Linked DNA regions of Arabidopsis thaliana. The protein of the gene in region 1 purifies or fractionates together with the protein of each later gene. This does not show direct contact. Each region holds a gene or a part of one and is shown in the gene's direction. Other genes may lie near its edges.

Region 1 (9,588 bases):
TGCCTTGATGAAGATAAGCGAGTCCTCTAGCAGTGTCTTGAGCAATCTTCAGTCTGGTGGACCAAGGAAGAGGAGTGACTATAAAACGATTGGATAAATGGTCTTGAACACTTCTGTTTTGTACGTATTCGTAAACAAGTAGCCGTTGGATCCCTCTCTCATCATCCTCAGCGCAATAACCGATCAGCTTCACCAGATTCGGATGCTCCACTACTCCCAATACATTTACCTCTGTCACCCATTCTTTATGCCCCTGTTAATGCATACGTAGTTGTTTTTATTGTTGGGTACTGAAGGAGGTTGTGTAAAACAGAAGCAAACTAAAGAGAGAGAAAAAGATTTGCTTGCCTGTAGACCTCTTCTACTAAGTTGTTTAACTGCAATATCAATCTTTTTACGAGAATCTTGAGGGTTCTGAATCACGCCACGAAAGACACCACCAAAGCCACCTTCACCGATCATCAAGGAGCGGCTGAAGTTCTTGGTAGCGGTTTTAAGGTCATCGAGGACAAATACTTTGAGATTATTACTGTGTGTCTCTGAGAGGACGTGCAAGGAAGAAGTAATGGAAGTAGCAGTACTTGTATCTGAATTAAACTCAGACCCTGATCCTCCTCTAGCCATCGTAGCTGAACCAAACTTTCTAGTCTTAGCTTCATCATCCTGAGTTTTGTCTTTGCTGAAGTAGAAACATTTCATTGCCTTAGATGAAACCAGCCTCTTCACTATCCAAACCAGGTCCACATTCCAAGTCAACACAAACAGAAACACGATCAGAGATGAATTAACAGAGATAATCACCAATCATTCAATCCATACCAGATATCAAGTTATCAACACAAAAATCATCACATTTCAACTAGATTCCCTGACATTTGGAAGAATGTAGAACAAAAATCGATATACAACACAAAAGTAGAAATGTGGTAAGAGTGTTGAGAATCAGAAAGGGAAAGAGAAGAAACCTGATGTAGAATTATTCATGAGGATGAATGGAATGCTGTGATGGGGGTCTTCATGATCATGATTGAGAGAGCTTTAAAGCAAAAGAAAATGGTAGAGAAAGAGATAAGAGGAGAAGAGAGAAGACGAGCTCACCATGATCGAATGGGGGAAGTCAAATAGGCAATGGCAGCTGGATTGCCGCTTACCAACCTATAGAAGAAGCCTTTTATAATATTTTATTTTGTGTTACACCCGCTTGCTTACTTATATCAATCAATACCTTAATAGAGAACGCGTTGTTTATTAAAAAAATTTCCCCGTGTATATTCACCATTTAATCTTTAAGGTACGGTTTAGAAGAGAAATTCAAATGAACTTTCCTCTTCTATGGAAGCTTCGTGTAATTTATCTAAAACTATGTATAGTTTTAATTTATTAAAAATTGATAGTCAAATTATAGAAAATATTTAATGTTGTTGAAATAGGTGGTACTCGAAACGTAAGAAAAAATGATGAGGTGAGGAAAAGCGTTGGAAAGAAACTTTGGGGGTGAGAATTTTTGGTATAGAAGAGACGTACATTATGGAAGTAGAGAGACTAAGTGTCAGCTATTTGAGAATCCACCTATAGCTATCTCAAAACTAACTCCACACCTAAACTTGCATCATCTCAACATCTTCCTCCTACCTACTCTTTAACTCTTGGTTTCTCTTACTTGGTCCAGTCTTTCCACTATTGAACTTCCAAGACACCAACAGTCGCGTTGTAAGTCTGTCTATTTACTTCATTTGACGAGAGCATAGTGCTCGGTTATCTGCAAGCGAATACAACATAATGACTTCAGAAAAAAAACCATCGAAGCAAAACAGGTTCCTACTTAGTGAAACCAAACCCACATAATACATATCCTAATTTCTTTACCTGTTTTTTTTACTGCTATTACTCCACCTCATTGTATTCAACCACTGCATCATAAGTCTCCATCGTGAGTATACTCTCCGCAAAACATCTGAAAAATGTTTTCTTTCTCATCAGAAATAGTATATGACCAAAAAACCTAAACCAAACAGATATCAGCTCTATCATCTGTTCAGACTTACAAGTCACTAGGTTTAGGTTGCCTATGTGTTTTCTGTACTACTATACTAAACCTGTAACTACTTGAAACTCTGAAAAAACCCTAGCGTATAAAAATCTTACCTTAGTTCATGCCAAAATATATCCACCTTATCAGACAAGAATTTTCGAAGAGAGGAGACTTCATCTTCCACCAACATCCCGGTCTGCCCGGTTTGTCGATTATTCTCTCTCTCAAGCCTTTTGATGAAAAGAGCTGACGCAAAATGAACAATAACTGAGGGATCAGGATCTCCAAGGACTGCCTGAAGCTCTCTTCTAATCCATGGCTCAATTCTTTCAGTTATCTTTGCTTTGGTGTAATCATTCACCGCCAAACTCTACAATAATCCAAGATGACACAACGAAGCAGGTATATATAAGGCTTCCAATGTGAACATATATCCAATAATGTAAGAGTGTAAACCCCAATACTACAAACATCAAACAGAGAAGAACACATTGTATAATGAAACTTACTAGTTCCAAGCGCCTTGAATGTAATCGAACAGCTCGTAATTGCTTAGTGTATATGCTGTATTTAGAGCCAACACTAGTTAGAAACAACGGCGAACTAATCTAACACTTCGAAAAAGGAGATTGCAAATGAAGCTATAGAGTTAGAATCAATAGTAAACCAACCTAGCTCGCCACTGAAGCTTTCGCTGGAAGATAACAGAATCAGGAACTGAACCTGGTCGTCCAAATGATCTCCGCCATGGCAATGGCCTTGATCTTGAGCTAGAGTTTTCCAAAACATCCCTCGACCTTTGAATTATCCTAATGAAATAATAACCAAGTGAATATAATAAAGAAGTGATTTTTAACTTCATAGAGAGGATCTTAGAGAGAGAGATAACCTCCGGCGATCGGAAGGATTATTCCGATGATAAGTTAAAGTCTCACGATCACGAAGAATTGGTAATTGCTCCTTATGGTATTTTCTAGAAGCAAAATCACTAACGATAAACCAGGAATCAAAACGAGTGTTACAAAGAGGACAATTCCTCTTGAAGCTGCTCCACTTCCGAATACAAGCAAGGCAGTATCCGTGCTTGCACACCGTGATCACGGCGGCGGATCTTCGCTCGGTTAGATTTTCGAGGCATATCGGACACGATTTCCCCTGTAAAGCAGGAAATATTGCTCTCCCTGCAAATTTCGCGATACTTTCCGGCGATCGAAGATGTCTCGAAGACGAAGGCGCCGTGGAGGACGGTAATGGAGGCATGACCGGAGATAGAGATTGTTCGGTGAAGTCGGGCTCTTGGAAAAGTCGGGTTTTAATGAACCGAGATGGATTTCAGATAGATAACCGGTTAATGTCGGTTTGGGTTGACTCGGTTCGAGATTTCTTGTTTCAAAATGAAGAGCGAGCGTGAAGGATCTTTTACTTCATCGCTGCTCCGAAGAAAAAACTTCACCATTGCCACTAACGACGAACTCTCTTGTCTCTGAAATGGAGGTTCCAAAGGAGCAGATCGCGACTTTAATAGAGCATGGGCTTTACGATTCTGCTGAAATGCTCGTAACTTCTCTAGCTTTTAGCTCATTTTGATTGTCTATCTCTTTTTTTCTAAATCCCTAGTTTTCATCAAGAGCTAATGAAATTCTCTCTATATATGCAACTAAATCCAGGGCTGCTTTCTCGTTTCTTCTCCTACTGTTAGTGCCGAAACTAGTCCTCAGCTCAAGGCGGAGAATTTGGTTAAGCTTCTTTCTCCGTCGATATTTTCTATTTTAGTAGCTGCTGAGTCCGTTAGATTGAAGTTAGATTCTTTCTGTGTTTTTTAATCAGATTCTACTGGGTGATGCTTTATTTCATCAGAGAGAACACCGGAGAGCTATTGTAAGTTCTCAAAAGTTTCATTCTTTATGTTTCTCTTTTGCTGTGAAGGAAATGTTACTCAGTTCTCGATAGTTTAGTTCTGCCTCAAATTTGAACTCTATAAATCATTCTCGGAACTTGAATTTGACTGGATTATGATAAAATTGTAAAGATTCTGATTATATGAATTTATGGAGTGAGCAGAGATAAGTTTTATATTTGTATTGCTTATTCTTTTCCTGTGGATTACTTTGAAGTCATCTCGAAATTCTGAATATGTATTCCTTCTTTTTGTCAGCATACGTACAAGCAAGCGTTGCATCATTACACAAGGATTCCGAAGCAAAGCTCCGGTATTTCGAGGAGTTCATTATCTTTATCTACCAGATCATCTGTGAATGCCTCCAGCATTTCTGCTATTAATGAGAACGAGGTAAATAACTGTGTTGCAGTTTCCAGAAAGTGATGTGGTTTGGTTTAATTTCATTGGAGTTCATGTGCATCTTCTTTTTCTAACTTTCCTTTTAGGTGAGATTCAAGATTGCTTCATCTCACTTTGCTCTTAATGAAACAAAAGCTGCGATTGCTGAGGTATGAGTGTCATCTGTTTGTCTGGTTTTCAAGATTTATTTAGTCTTCTGGATTTGTTGGTCTAGAAACTTTGGTATATAGAAAATAAAATATGTGTGTATGAGACGGTAAAAGAGCTGTCTAGGGATTTCTCTATTTCTAAGATTATAGATTGGTTTTGTATAGGATGACTTTTATGTCTTGCTATTGTATTTTATAACCAGAGTTAAGTAACTGTAATTTCAGTGAAACATTCTTGGGCCGTAACTAATGCATTGTTATAGTATTCCTGAATGTGAGTTGAATTTTGTTGCGTTGACCTGCTCCCATCAATGCAAATCCATATTACAAAACAAGTAAACTAATTGGATTCCTTCCAACACTGCATGTAGGTATTAGGGATGATAAAGCCATGGTCTGCTTAGCTATAATCTATTTTTGCACTTGTTATTTCTTTGCCAGATGGAATCTGTCAAGACCAGGAGCTTAGAGATGAATATACTGATGGCAAAGCTTCATCGAAATTCTGGATACAACCGTGGTGCTATTGCTTTTTATAAAGAGTGTTTAAGGTCTGTTTTTCGTTTTCTTTCCCAACATTTCCTAGCATAGAAACACTGTTATAATATCTCACTTTTTACGTTAAATACCAATTCAACACATAGTAAACATATATATAATCTTTAATCTCTGCAGGCAGTGTCCTTATGTACTTGAAGCCGTCATAGGTTTAGCTGAACTGGGAGTTAGTGCAAAGGATATCATATCATCGTTTACTCAGGTGTCCCTTTCTACGAGATTTCTTTCACCACTTCTTCAAATGTGTTTTGCACCTCTTTCTCTCTATTTTGCAATTACCTTTTCTGTGTGAAATCCATACAACTTTGTAATTTGTTGTGTCATTTGTTCATTTCAGACTTCAAATAGAAGTGCAAAGGTTTCACTCGATCAGATAGATCCTACCCGCTGGTTGCAAGTAAGCTTACTCTTTAACAGGATTTACAACGTTGAAAATTGTTTGAAAGTACACTCATTAATCATGCCGCCAAGCTGATTATTGTACGTGAGTTAGAATCTTATTTTATCAACTATTTTCCCCCGAATACGACTTCATATATAATGATTCTAAGAATTCTGTCTTCAAGCTGTTCATGTGTGGAAAGTGAATAAATCGTCTTAATAGTATTATTCCCTTTAACAAAGTAGTGCTTTGATGTTCTTGTGTTAGTAGAAGCTCGACTATTTAACCAGGAAACTAATACTCCACATAACTTTTCTTGGATGGATGTTTCATTGGTTTCATGTTGTAGCATACCTGGCAATAAAATCTATTTTCTTCTTTGTCTTTTTCGGTAATTTTTCTTTGTTTTCACAGCGTTATGTAGAGGCCCAGTGTTGTGTTGCTTCGCATGCTTACAAAGGTAGCTCTCTTTTCTTTTTGGGATGCCTATGCCTACAATGGATGAAATAAGGCATTTAGTTCTTTTTTTTTAACCTTGTAGATTTCATTTCTTGCATTTTATTTGTGGGAAATTCTGCAATCTGATGCTTGCTTTACTGGATATGGTGTAATATTTTTTTGTTACTCAGGGGCGCTGGAACTCTTTGCTGAACTCTTACAACGATTTCCAAATAATGTACACTTGTTGACTGAGACAGCAAAGGTTAGGGATGACATCGACTACGATGCAAACAGAATTTCACCTGAATTTTTCATTTTATCATGACTGACGCTGATTGACATTTATTTCATTTGTATAGGTTGAAGCCATTATTGGGAAAAATGATGAGGCCATAATGAGATTTGAGAAGGTAGTCACCACATGGATATTTTTTTCTCAATTCTCAACTTCTTTAATTCATGCATAATCATCTAAAAGCTTTTATAGGTTCGGTCAATTGATCCTTACACACTAACCAGTATGGATGAGTATGCGATGCTGCTTCAGATTAAGTGTGATTATTCCAGGCTAAACAAGCTCGTCCACGATTTATTAAGCGTTGATCATACCAGAGCAGAAGTATTTGTTGCTTTGTCTGTACTATGGGAAAGGAAAGATGCAAGGACGGCATTATCTTATGCTGAGAAGGTTAGCTTTTTTCTGACACTGAATTTTTGTGCCAAAATCTTTGTGTGATAGCTCATGACATACACTATGCAATCAGAGTATCAGGGTAGACGAGAGGCACATACCCGGCTACATAATGAAGGTAAGCTAGTTCAACGAGGAGTTTATTTATTTTTAGTAAGTTTGCATATATATATATATCCACTAATTTGTTAAGACGTCAGGGAAATCTACTTTTACAAGCAAAACGACCAGAAGCTGCAGCGATCGCCTTCAGGGCTGCCCAGAATTTGAGGTCCGATCTTCGTTCATATCAAGGTCTGGTTCACGAGGGAAAAAGATCTGATATACACTTCCACTGTTGTACTGTTTTGGTGGTATAAACCTTTAACAATCATGAAAAGGTTGGAGTGTGTAATTAACTTGCGCTATTGAGGTCATTTCAGGCTTAGTCCATTCTTATCTTGCATTTGGTAAAACCAAAGAAGCATTGTATACCGCCAGGGAAGCAATGAATGCAATGCCTCAATCCGCGAAGGCTCTGAAATTAGTTGGTGATGTTCATGCGTTTACATCAAGTGGCAGGGAAAAGGTACAAACATTCAGCTTTGTTATGCTTCTATGGTGTCAATTTTCATCATATCAATATTCTATCCAGATTTTTTACATCTTAATCAGAAGCGGTGAAAGCTTTAGGGAGTTAGTTGCATATAATACTAAATATTGAAACTGGGAAAGTTCCTTAAACTTAACTGTTCAAATCTCAATTTTGATAAGCATAGTGTATACCAAATCTGAGAAACTATTCAGAGCTTGTGAGTATCTTCTTGTGATCTTTACATTATGTATAAAAATTTATGGTGTAACAGTAGAATGATATGGTTTTATAACAGGCAAAAAAGTTTTACGAGTCAGGTCTGAGGCTGGAACCTGGGTACCTTGGAGCTGTGTTAGCCCTAGCTGAGCTTCATCTAATGGAAGGGAGGAATGGAGATGCTGTATCACTACTTGAACGATATCTCAAAGATTATGCAGATGATTCTCTCCACGTCAAGCTAGCTCAAGTGTTTGCTGCAACGAATATGCTACAAGATTCTTTATCACACTTTCAAGCTGCATTAAGGTTTATGAAATTCTAAGCCAGTAGTGCTTATAGTTCTTGTTGCTCCTATGCGAAACAATAACGATATAACAGAGTGTAAATAATGTAAACGCAGAATAAATCCACAGAATGAGGCAGCCAAAAAGGGACTAGATCGCTTGGAGAAACAAATGAAGGTTGGGAAGAATCAAATCGAACCATTTTATTATGAAGCTCGAACAAGGATGATGTTTAGTGTATTCACAAAATTGGGGTGTTTGTTGCAGGGAATAGACCCAGATGCAACAGATGAGAATGACGAGAACGATGTTGAAGATGTTGATGGAGACACCGAAGAAGCTGAGCTCATGTGAAGAGTAGAGAGACAGAAGAGTGTGTAAACTGTAAAACTATCGAATCCTTAACATTAATATTAATAGCAAATGTCATTCCTTTTGTTTCCTATAAACAAACTTAGAATATGAAAAGAAACGAAAAAAAAGACCAATATTCTACAACATTGGACGTCGTGACGTGTAAATACGCCATTGGTTAAAACACACCAAGAGAACCCATTACCAAAGTCTCACGGAGAATCCCATCTCTTTCCCCACGCCAACTCAATCTTTTTCGTCGTCAAAAGCCAAAGCTTTTTGCTTTTTTGTCTTAATGGGTTTCATCTCTTGCATCTCATTTCCGACGATCAATTCAAGAATTCTATCGACTCACCACTTTTCCAAGCACTCGACTTCAGCGTCTTCTTCATATTCACTTAAGTTTGCTTTGAGACGTCAGGAGGATAAACCCAAAGTCTCGTTTTTTCTTCCATTAACGTCTTCGTTAATGGCGACCCCTATTCAAGCCTCTTCTTCCTCCACCATTGGTATCTTCACTCTCTACTTCTTCAATTCGACTGCTTTAAGGATTAGTGAACTTTGACTTTTAAGATAATCCTATGTTAATCTTTTATGCTTAGTGAGGTAATTAGAGCTTTCGAATGATTTACAATTTCTGATTACATTGATGAGGAAGCTAAGAATATGGTAAATGAAGGTTTAGTGATCTGCCTCTCCAAAGTAGTGACCTTTTTAATATGTTGTTTTGTATGAAGGTGAGACCAGTGATGGCTTGAAGGTCCAGTCTCATGTTTCAATTGGAGCAAACGATCTGCTGATTGTTGGACCGGGTGTTCTTGGACGCTTAGTTGCAGAACAGTGGAGACAGGTATAATTTCTGTGTTGTATATCCCCTACAGGGGACTTAGCTCAATTTGATACTTACTCATATTCTTCTTATAGAACATCCGATAGATATGGTGTTTCTGTACTACGAAAACAAAAACGTTTATGATGTCCTGCAAATCCCTGTTTTAATGTGTCTTGAGTGTTTATCAATATGGTGTGTGTGTGGATAGTGACTAGTACTTTTTCTTCACAACGTATATATAGTAAGAGTCATGTTTTTCACAATATGGAAGTTAGAGTTAGAGCTTTATATGTGGAGCAGGAACATCCAGAGTCTCAAATCTTTGGGCAGACAGTAACAACAAATCATCATGGTGAGTTGGAGAATTTGGGTATCAAACCATCTCTTAAAGGAACCGAATATGGGGGAAAGTTCTCCTATGTGATCTTTTGTGCTCCACCATCACAAAGCGCTGATTATGCTGGTGAAGTCAGGTGATTAATTACAAAAAATCTTATGTTTTAATAACTAGAAAGTCAATTTATGCATTATGATCTGTTAGTGAATGCCAGAAATGTCGACTATTGTGCGCTTGACTTTATTAGCTGGAGAAGAAAAATGAAGCTAAACGTCAATTTGTGCTTTTTAGTTCATCCTATGTGACAACAGTAAAAACATTTGCCTTCATTCAACTGTCTAATATGTGTGTATGCTTGTGTTTACAATCGGATCAGGAATGCAGCATCAAACTGGAATGGCGAAGGATCATTCTTATTCACATCTAGTTCTGCACC
Region 2 (5,350 bases), 1.3 Mb from region 1:
CATTATTCTTGAGAAGTCCAGCTAAACACTTAAGAATTTCACGACTTTGACTATCTTCCTTCAAGAATCTGCTGAGGGTATCATTTGCCATAGCTGTGTCCCGTATTGCCCTTGCAGTTTTTGCTGTTTCCTTCCTCGAATGAACAAAAATAAGGACCTGGTGTTTTCCAGCAACAGCCACTACTTTCTGATAACATATATCATTCATCAACTGGAACCTCCGTAACGGCTTTTTCACATTAATTCCTATATACTGCTGACCGAGAGGCACAGGTCTGTAGCTACGGTCAAATATAAACAACCCATTTTTAAGATCCACTCGCAAAAATGAAGCCACATCGTCACAATTTGGCAGTGTTGCAGATAAACCTACCAGACGAATATGCTCCTTTGTGCTTTCAATCTGCCTAAGAGTCCTAGCGACAATACTTTCAAGCACAGGCCCTCGATTATCATCAAGAAGATGAATTTCGTCGATTATAAGAAGCCTCACAAGCTGTGTATAAGTGCGATCTCCAGATTTCCTGGTGATGATATCCCACTTCTCTGGCGTTGTAACAATTATCTGAGTCTCTTTGATTTCTTGCCCAGTAAGGGACTGATCCCCACTGAGTTCCTTCACAGTAACTCCAAAATCCTTCAAACGTTGAGATAGACTATCCACGACCTCAGCAACAAGGGCTTTCATTGGTGCAACATAGACAATTTTGTAATTACCATGATTAAACGTTCCACCAGGGTTCATATTCAATCCAAGCTGGTGCAGTATGGTGAGCACGGCAACATTGGTCTTCCCAGCACCAGTTGGAGCACAAAGAAGAATGTTGTCAGCCTTAAAAAGAGCAGTGCCGTACACTTTGCTCTGAACCCTATTCAACTGCTGCATTCCCCTAAAAGCTGGTTGGGCCCACTCTGGCAAATCGCTAATTTTCACAAGCTTTTCATTACTATCAAACTTTTTAGAAACCCACGGCACATGAACCTCATCAAATTCCTTGCCACGTATTCTGAAAGAGCGATCAGGAAGCTCACACTTGTTATTCTCCCTCGTGAAACCACCTTGGTTAAAAGCAAGGCTCTCCAGGTCCATCACCTGACGCTGGCCCTTCAACCAACCATTCTCCAAATCTAAATCATCAACATCTCTCATGCCTCTGTCTCCGTCAACACCAGAATCATCATCCATAAGATGTTGAGCTTCTTCTTTGATATCTTTCTCCCGTTTCTCCTCCCTTTCTTTGGCTGTTGCTCTTTTGGCATGCAACTCCTTAACAATTGCTGCCAACTCTGAACCTAACCCCAACATCTCCTCCTCAATTTGATTCCTCTCTTCCTGGTCTCTTCCCCTAGCCAAACGGGTGCACCACACAACTTTAAGACGGTTTTGCAACAGAAATTTAACAAGGCTGAACTTTTCAAACTGAAGGTGCTCAAGCAGCTTGATCTCAACATCCCTATCATTACCCTCAGCAAGTATCTTAAGCAGCTCTTCTGCGAGTTCCTGGCACTCTTGTGCATCAATCTTCTGCTCATATTCTTGAGATATCTTTCTCTGAAGCCAATAAGCATCAATATCCAGAACATTAAGACTCGTATCCTCCTTTGCCTGTCTTGCATCCTCGCCGTTTATTGCCACACCCACCTGGACAACTCCAGTTTTGTTAAGCTCAACAACATCTTCATCCTCCTCATCTTTTTCATCCTGGACCATATCAAGATCACTCTCATCATCATCCTCTTCACATTCAAGGGCAACACCAATATCATAATCAAGTCCTCCATCCTCACTAGCTTTACCACTTAAAGAATCACCACCCTCTTCATAGTCTGTAATCAGTTTTCCAATCGAAACAAACTGACTGAAAACCTGATCAGTAATAACGTTTAGTAGTTTCTCAATCTCTACCTTCTTTTCATGGTTTTTGACGGATTCATTCTTAAGAACTGCCAAAATCTCATCAGCCGCACCGCAAACAATGTCCAAAGGCTGCCCACCCAATTGCTGCTGGATAAGACCAAGCATAATCTCAAAAGCAACCCTTGTTTCCTTAGTCTTCGGCTGATAAACACCATCCTCCGTATCATTAAGTACACTCACCTCCCTAAGACGAACTCTTTTGCTCTCACGAGCAGACACCAAATCATCACAACGTTCCTTCTTCTTCTTAGATTTATTAAGCCGCTCATCTAACTCATGAGGCCTTCCCCTAACGACACGATCTCCAAAGGATTTCGGATCAATCCTACCCCTGAGACTCTCCGGTTCACCAGAAGATTCATGCGTATCACGACGACGCTCATCACTGTTAAGAACAAGACTGGAATTGACTTTGTACCCATACTGCTTCAACCTGGCTTGCTCCTCCGCACCACCACCACCCAAATTCGTCATCACCAAATCGGAAAAACAAACCCCAAATTCCAAGAATTAAATCAATGAAACAAAACAAAATTCGGAACGAAAAACTCTTCTATTACCTCTCTCCCGTTCTCCGTAATCGTCGTCTTAAGAATTTGATCGAGTCGATGAGTTTTTTTTTTTTTTCGTTCAACAGTCTTATATATACACCCTAAACAAGTCTTAAACCGACAATACATTGTCGGCCACAAATTCCAAACCCACGAAGGCCTGTCCGGAAGCCGACTAAAATTATGGAATTGTCCGGTTCAATCCGTTTTAACTATAATTAGAAGAAAACATTAATTAGAGTTGGTTCTTGATGAGTGTTTTCGTATAATCAGAGCAAGTTATCGTATCATTAGACCGTACCAACTAGCCAATCCGGTTTTCTGGTATTAGTAAAAAGCAGCGGTTGGATCCTATGACAATTAACGGTGAGGATTCGATCTTGAAAGCAATGCGTACGTAAATAGAATTGGGCCACAAGCCCAGTTTTATTCAGAAGGGCAAAATTGAAATCTGACAAAGAATTTGACGAATTGTGACAATGTGCGCTTTGAAAAAAAACGAAATTTATCCCGCGTGAGATGAAAAATTCAAAATATTTCACACAGGTGAAACCACTTTGACACGTGCGAGCTCGAAATTTTTCATTTTCAATTACAAAACCCGCCTAGAAAATGGTCTAAATTTTGTTTGCCAGATCGTCTCTCTCTCAAAAGCTTTTCTCTCTTTTTCTCCTTTGTCCCCTCCACTTTACCGTTCACGAAGCCATTCCGAGCTATCACGAAGGAATCTATTGAAGATTCATAGGTAAATCCATGGTTTGATTTGTTCAAGTAGGTTCTTTGTGATGTGACGGAGATTTGTTGCGAAAACGAAGAGTTGATCTCTTTTTCTTGTTGTTTATGAGGTTTCGAGAAAATCTGATTAACAATGGAGAACAAGACTGAGTTCTTGGGTTTTAATGTTGCGATTTCGATTTTGGGTGTGTTCTAATGGCATAGTTGTTTGATTTCTTCAGCGCTCAATCACAAATGCCAGAAGCACGAGATCGAATAGAGAGGCAAGTTGATTACCCAGCCGCATTTCTCAATAGACGCTCGCATGGTATTTTACTTGACGAACCAGCAACACAGCACAATTTGTTTGGGTCTCCGGTTCAGAGAGTGCCATCGGAAGCTACAGGAGGACTTGGGTCAATTGGTCAAGGATCTATGACGGGAAGAGGTGGGCTTGTGAGGGGTAATTTCGGTATTCGGCGGACTGGTGGTGGTAGAAGAGGTCAAATTCAATTTAGATCGCCACAGGGACGAGAGAACATGAGCTTGGGTGTTACAAGGCGTGGAAGGGCTCGTGCTTCAAATTCTGTCTTACCTTCTTGGTATCCAAGAACGCCCCTCCGTGATATTTCTGCCGTTGTTAGGGTTAGTTCACTAAACCTAGTCTCATTTTGGATTTGTCTGCTTATTCTTAGATTTAACTGGAGTTTTTTTCATTGATATATAGCTAATTTGTGATCTGTTTATATCTGGTTTGTGATTTGCATATTGGTTCAGAATCTGCTGCTTATAAGCTAGATTAGTCTTCTGTAACAGGCTTGCTTAGCCTCTTTGTTAACTATATCATAAGTCATAACCTGTTACCAAAAGGCTTGCTTAGTCTGGCTATTTACAAACTCTTATATGCAGGCTATTGAGAGAAGGAGAGCTCGTATGGGAGAAGGTGTTGGCCGAGATATTGAGACCCCAACTCCACAACAACTTGGGGTTCTTGATTCTCTAGTACCGTTGTCAGGTGCTCATCTCGAGCACGACTATTCTATGGTTACTCCCGGTCCATCTATTGGATTCAAGCGTCCTTGGCCACCCTCAACTGCTAAAGTCCATCAGATTTTGCTCGACATCACAAGAGAAAACACAGGGGAAGAAGATGCCCTCACTCCAGAGAAGAAGCTCCTCAACTCTATTGATAAAGTGGAGAAGGTTGTGATGGAAGAGATTCAGAAAATGAAGAGCACTCCTAGTGCTAAAAGAGCAGAAAGGGAGAAAAGAGTTAGGACGCTAATGTCGATGCGATGATGATTCATCATCCTCTGGTGATTCACTAGAAAGAGGTAATCATCTCTGTGATGATATATAGTAGGGAGATTCTATCATTTTTCTAATGATAAAAAAGAAGAAGAAATTCATCTTCTGATGATATATCATATGGGAGATAACTGTTAGATAGTTCACGGGTTTATGTTGGATCCCTTTTACTTTTAGGCTTTTTGTATGATGAGGATGTCTTCTTGATTCAGGATATTGTAGTTAAACAGTTGTACAGAAGTTTGGTTTGTTGGTAGAAATTGCAGATGTTCTTGTATGTGTGTATCTGTAATTGTCACAATCTAGGAAGTGCCTTCGAATAATAAAAACTTCTAATCATTTTTTTTTTTTAATTCCCATCAAACAATTTTCATATATGTTACGTCACACATTTTATATTTGGTAAAAGGTCACATCTGTTGTTTTGTTTTCTTTACAATGAGCATCTAATAAACAAGATTCGTCTGTGTCTGGATATAAATACAAGCATACTTCAAAAATTGTATCAATACCTGCCTGCAATGGATTTAAAACTAAACACTAAACTAATTATTCTCATCACATCCTTAGCTTTTCCTTTCATGCTTTATGCTCTCTTCAAATGGTTCTTGAAAGAGCAAGGTTCATTGGCTGCTACGAAGCTGCCACAGAGCCCTCCAGCTTTACCATTCATTGGCCACCTTCATTTGATAGGCAAAGTATTGCCTGTCTCATTCCAAAGTTTAGCTCACAAGTATGGCCCACTCATGGAGATACGTCTCGGTGCTTCTAAGTGCGTTGTGGTCTCAAGCTCTTCGGTGGCGAGAGAGATTTTCAAGGAGCAAGAGCTTAATTTCTCCTCGAGACCTGAGTTTGGTTC

What was found. The genes of interacting proteins can lie anywhere in the genome.
Region 2: the proteins of APC7 (region 1) and UVI4 purify together in Arabidopsis thaliana (affinity purification with mass spectrometry, with the first as the bait; one large-scale study listed by BioGRID). This does not show direct contact.

Annotation. Positions count from the first base shown.
Region 1 is NC_003071.7:16,311,166-16,320,753, reverse strand, and holds APC7 (tetratricopeptide repeat (TPR)-containing protein), read left to right. Parts: upstream 1-3,363; 5' UTR 3,364-3,520; coding exon 3,521-3,589; intron 3,590-3,699; coding exon 3,700-3,768; intron 3,769-3,859; coding exon 3,860-3,910; intron 3,911-4,187; coding exon 4,188-4,322; intron 4,323-4,417; coding exon 4,418-4,480; intron 4,481-4,921; coding exon 4,922-5,031; intron 5,032-5,155; coding exon 5,156-5,240; intron 5,241-5,375; coding exon 5,376-5,435; intron 5,436-5,834; coding exon 5,835-5,880; intron 5,881-6,049; coding exon 6,050-6,123; intron 6,124-6,220; coding exon 6,221-6,271; intron 6,272-6,348; coding exon 6,349-6,549; intron 6,550-6,625; coding exon 6,626-6,670; intron 6,671-6,752; coding exon 6,753-6,846; intron 6,847-6,974; coding exon 6,975-7,120; intron 7,121-7,421; coding exon 7,422-7,651; coding exon of another isoform or gene 7,652-7,667; exon of another isoform or gene 7,668-7,745; coding exon 7,746-7,806; intron 7,807-7,896; coding exon 7,897-7,983; 3' UTR 7,984-8,097; downstream 8,098-9,588. Other genes in the region: AT2G39110 (Protein kinase superfamily protein), read right to left, coding at 1-253, 349-725, 966-984; AT2G39100 (RING/U-box superfamily protein), read right to left, coding at 1,885-1,954, 2,146-2,402, 2,542-2,596, 2,704-2,841, 2,922-3,292; EMB2799 (NAD(P)-binding Rossmann-fold superfamily protein), read left to right, coding at 8,279-8,492, 8,721-8,833, 9,116-9,288, 9,529-9,588. UniProt on the Arabidopsis thaliana protein: Component of the anaphase promoting complex/cyclosome (APC/C), a cell cycle-regulated E3 ubiquitin-protein ligase complex that controls progression through mitosis and the G1 phase of the cell cycle.
Region 2 is NC_003071.7:17,601,372-17,606,721, reverse strand, and holds UVI4 (uv-b-insensitive 4), read left to right. Parts: upstream 1-3,016; 5' UTR 3,017-3,214; intron 3,215-3,264; exon of another isoform or gene 3,265-3,425; 5' UTR 3,426-3,438; coding exon 3,439-3,828; intron 3,829-4,092; coding exon 4,093-4,482; 3' UTR 4,483-4,850; downstream 4,851-5,350. Other genes in the region: AT2G42270 (U5 small nuclear ribonucleoprotein helicase), read right to left, coding at 1-2,392; CYP712A1 (cytochrome P450, family 712, subfamily A, polypeptide 1), read left to right, coding at 5,013-5,350. UniProt on the Arabidopsis thaliana protein: Negative regulator of the anaphase-promoting complex/cyclosome (APC/C) ubiquitin ligase required for proper mitotic progression and cell fate determination; inhibits premature cell differentiation.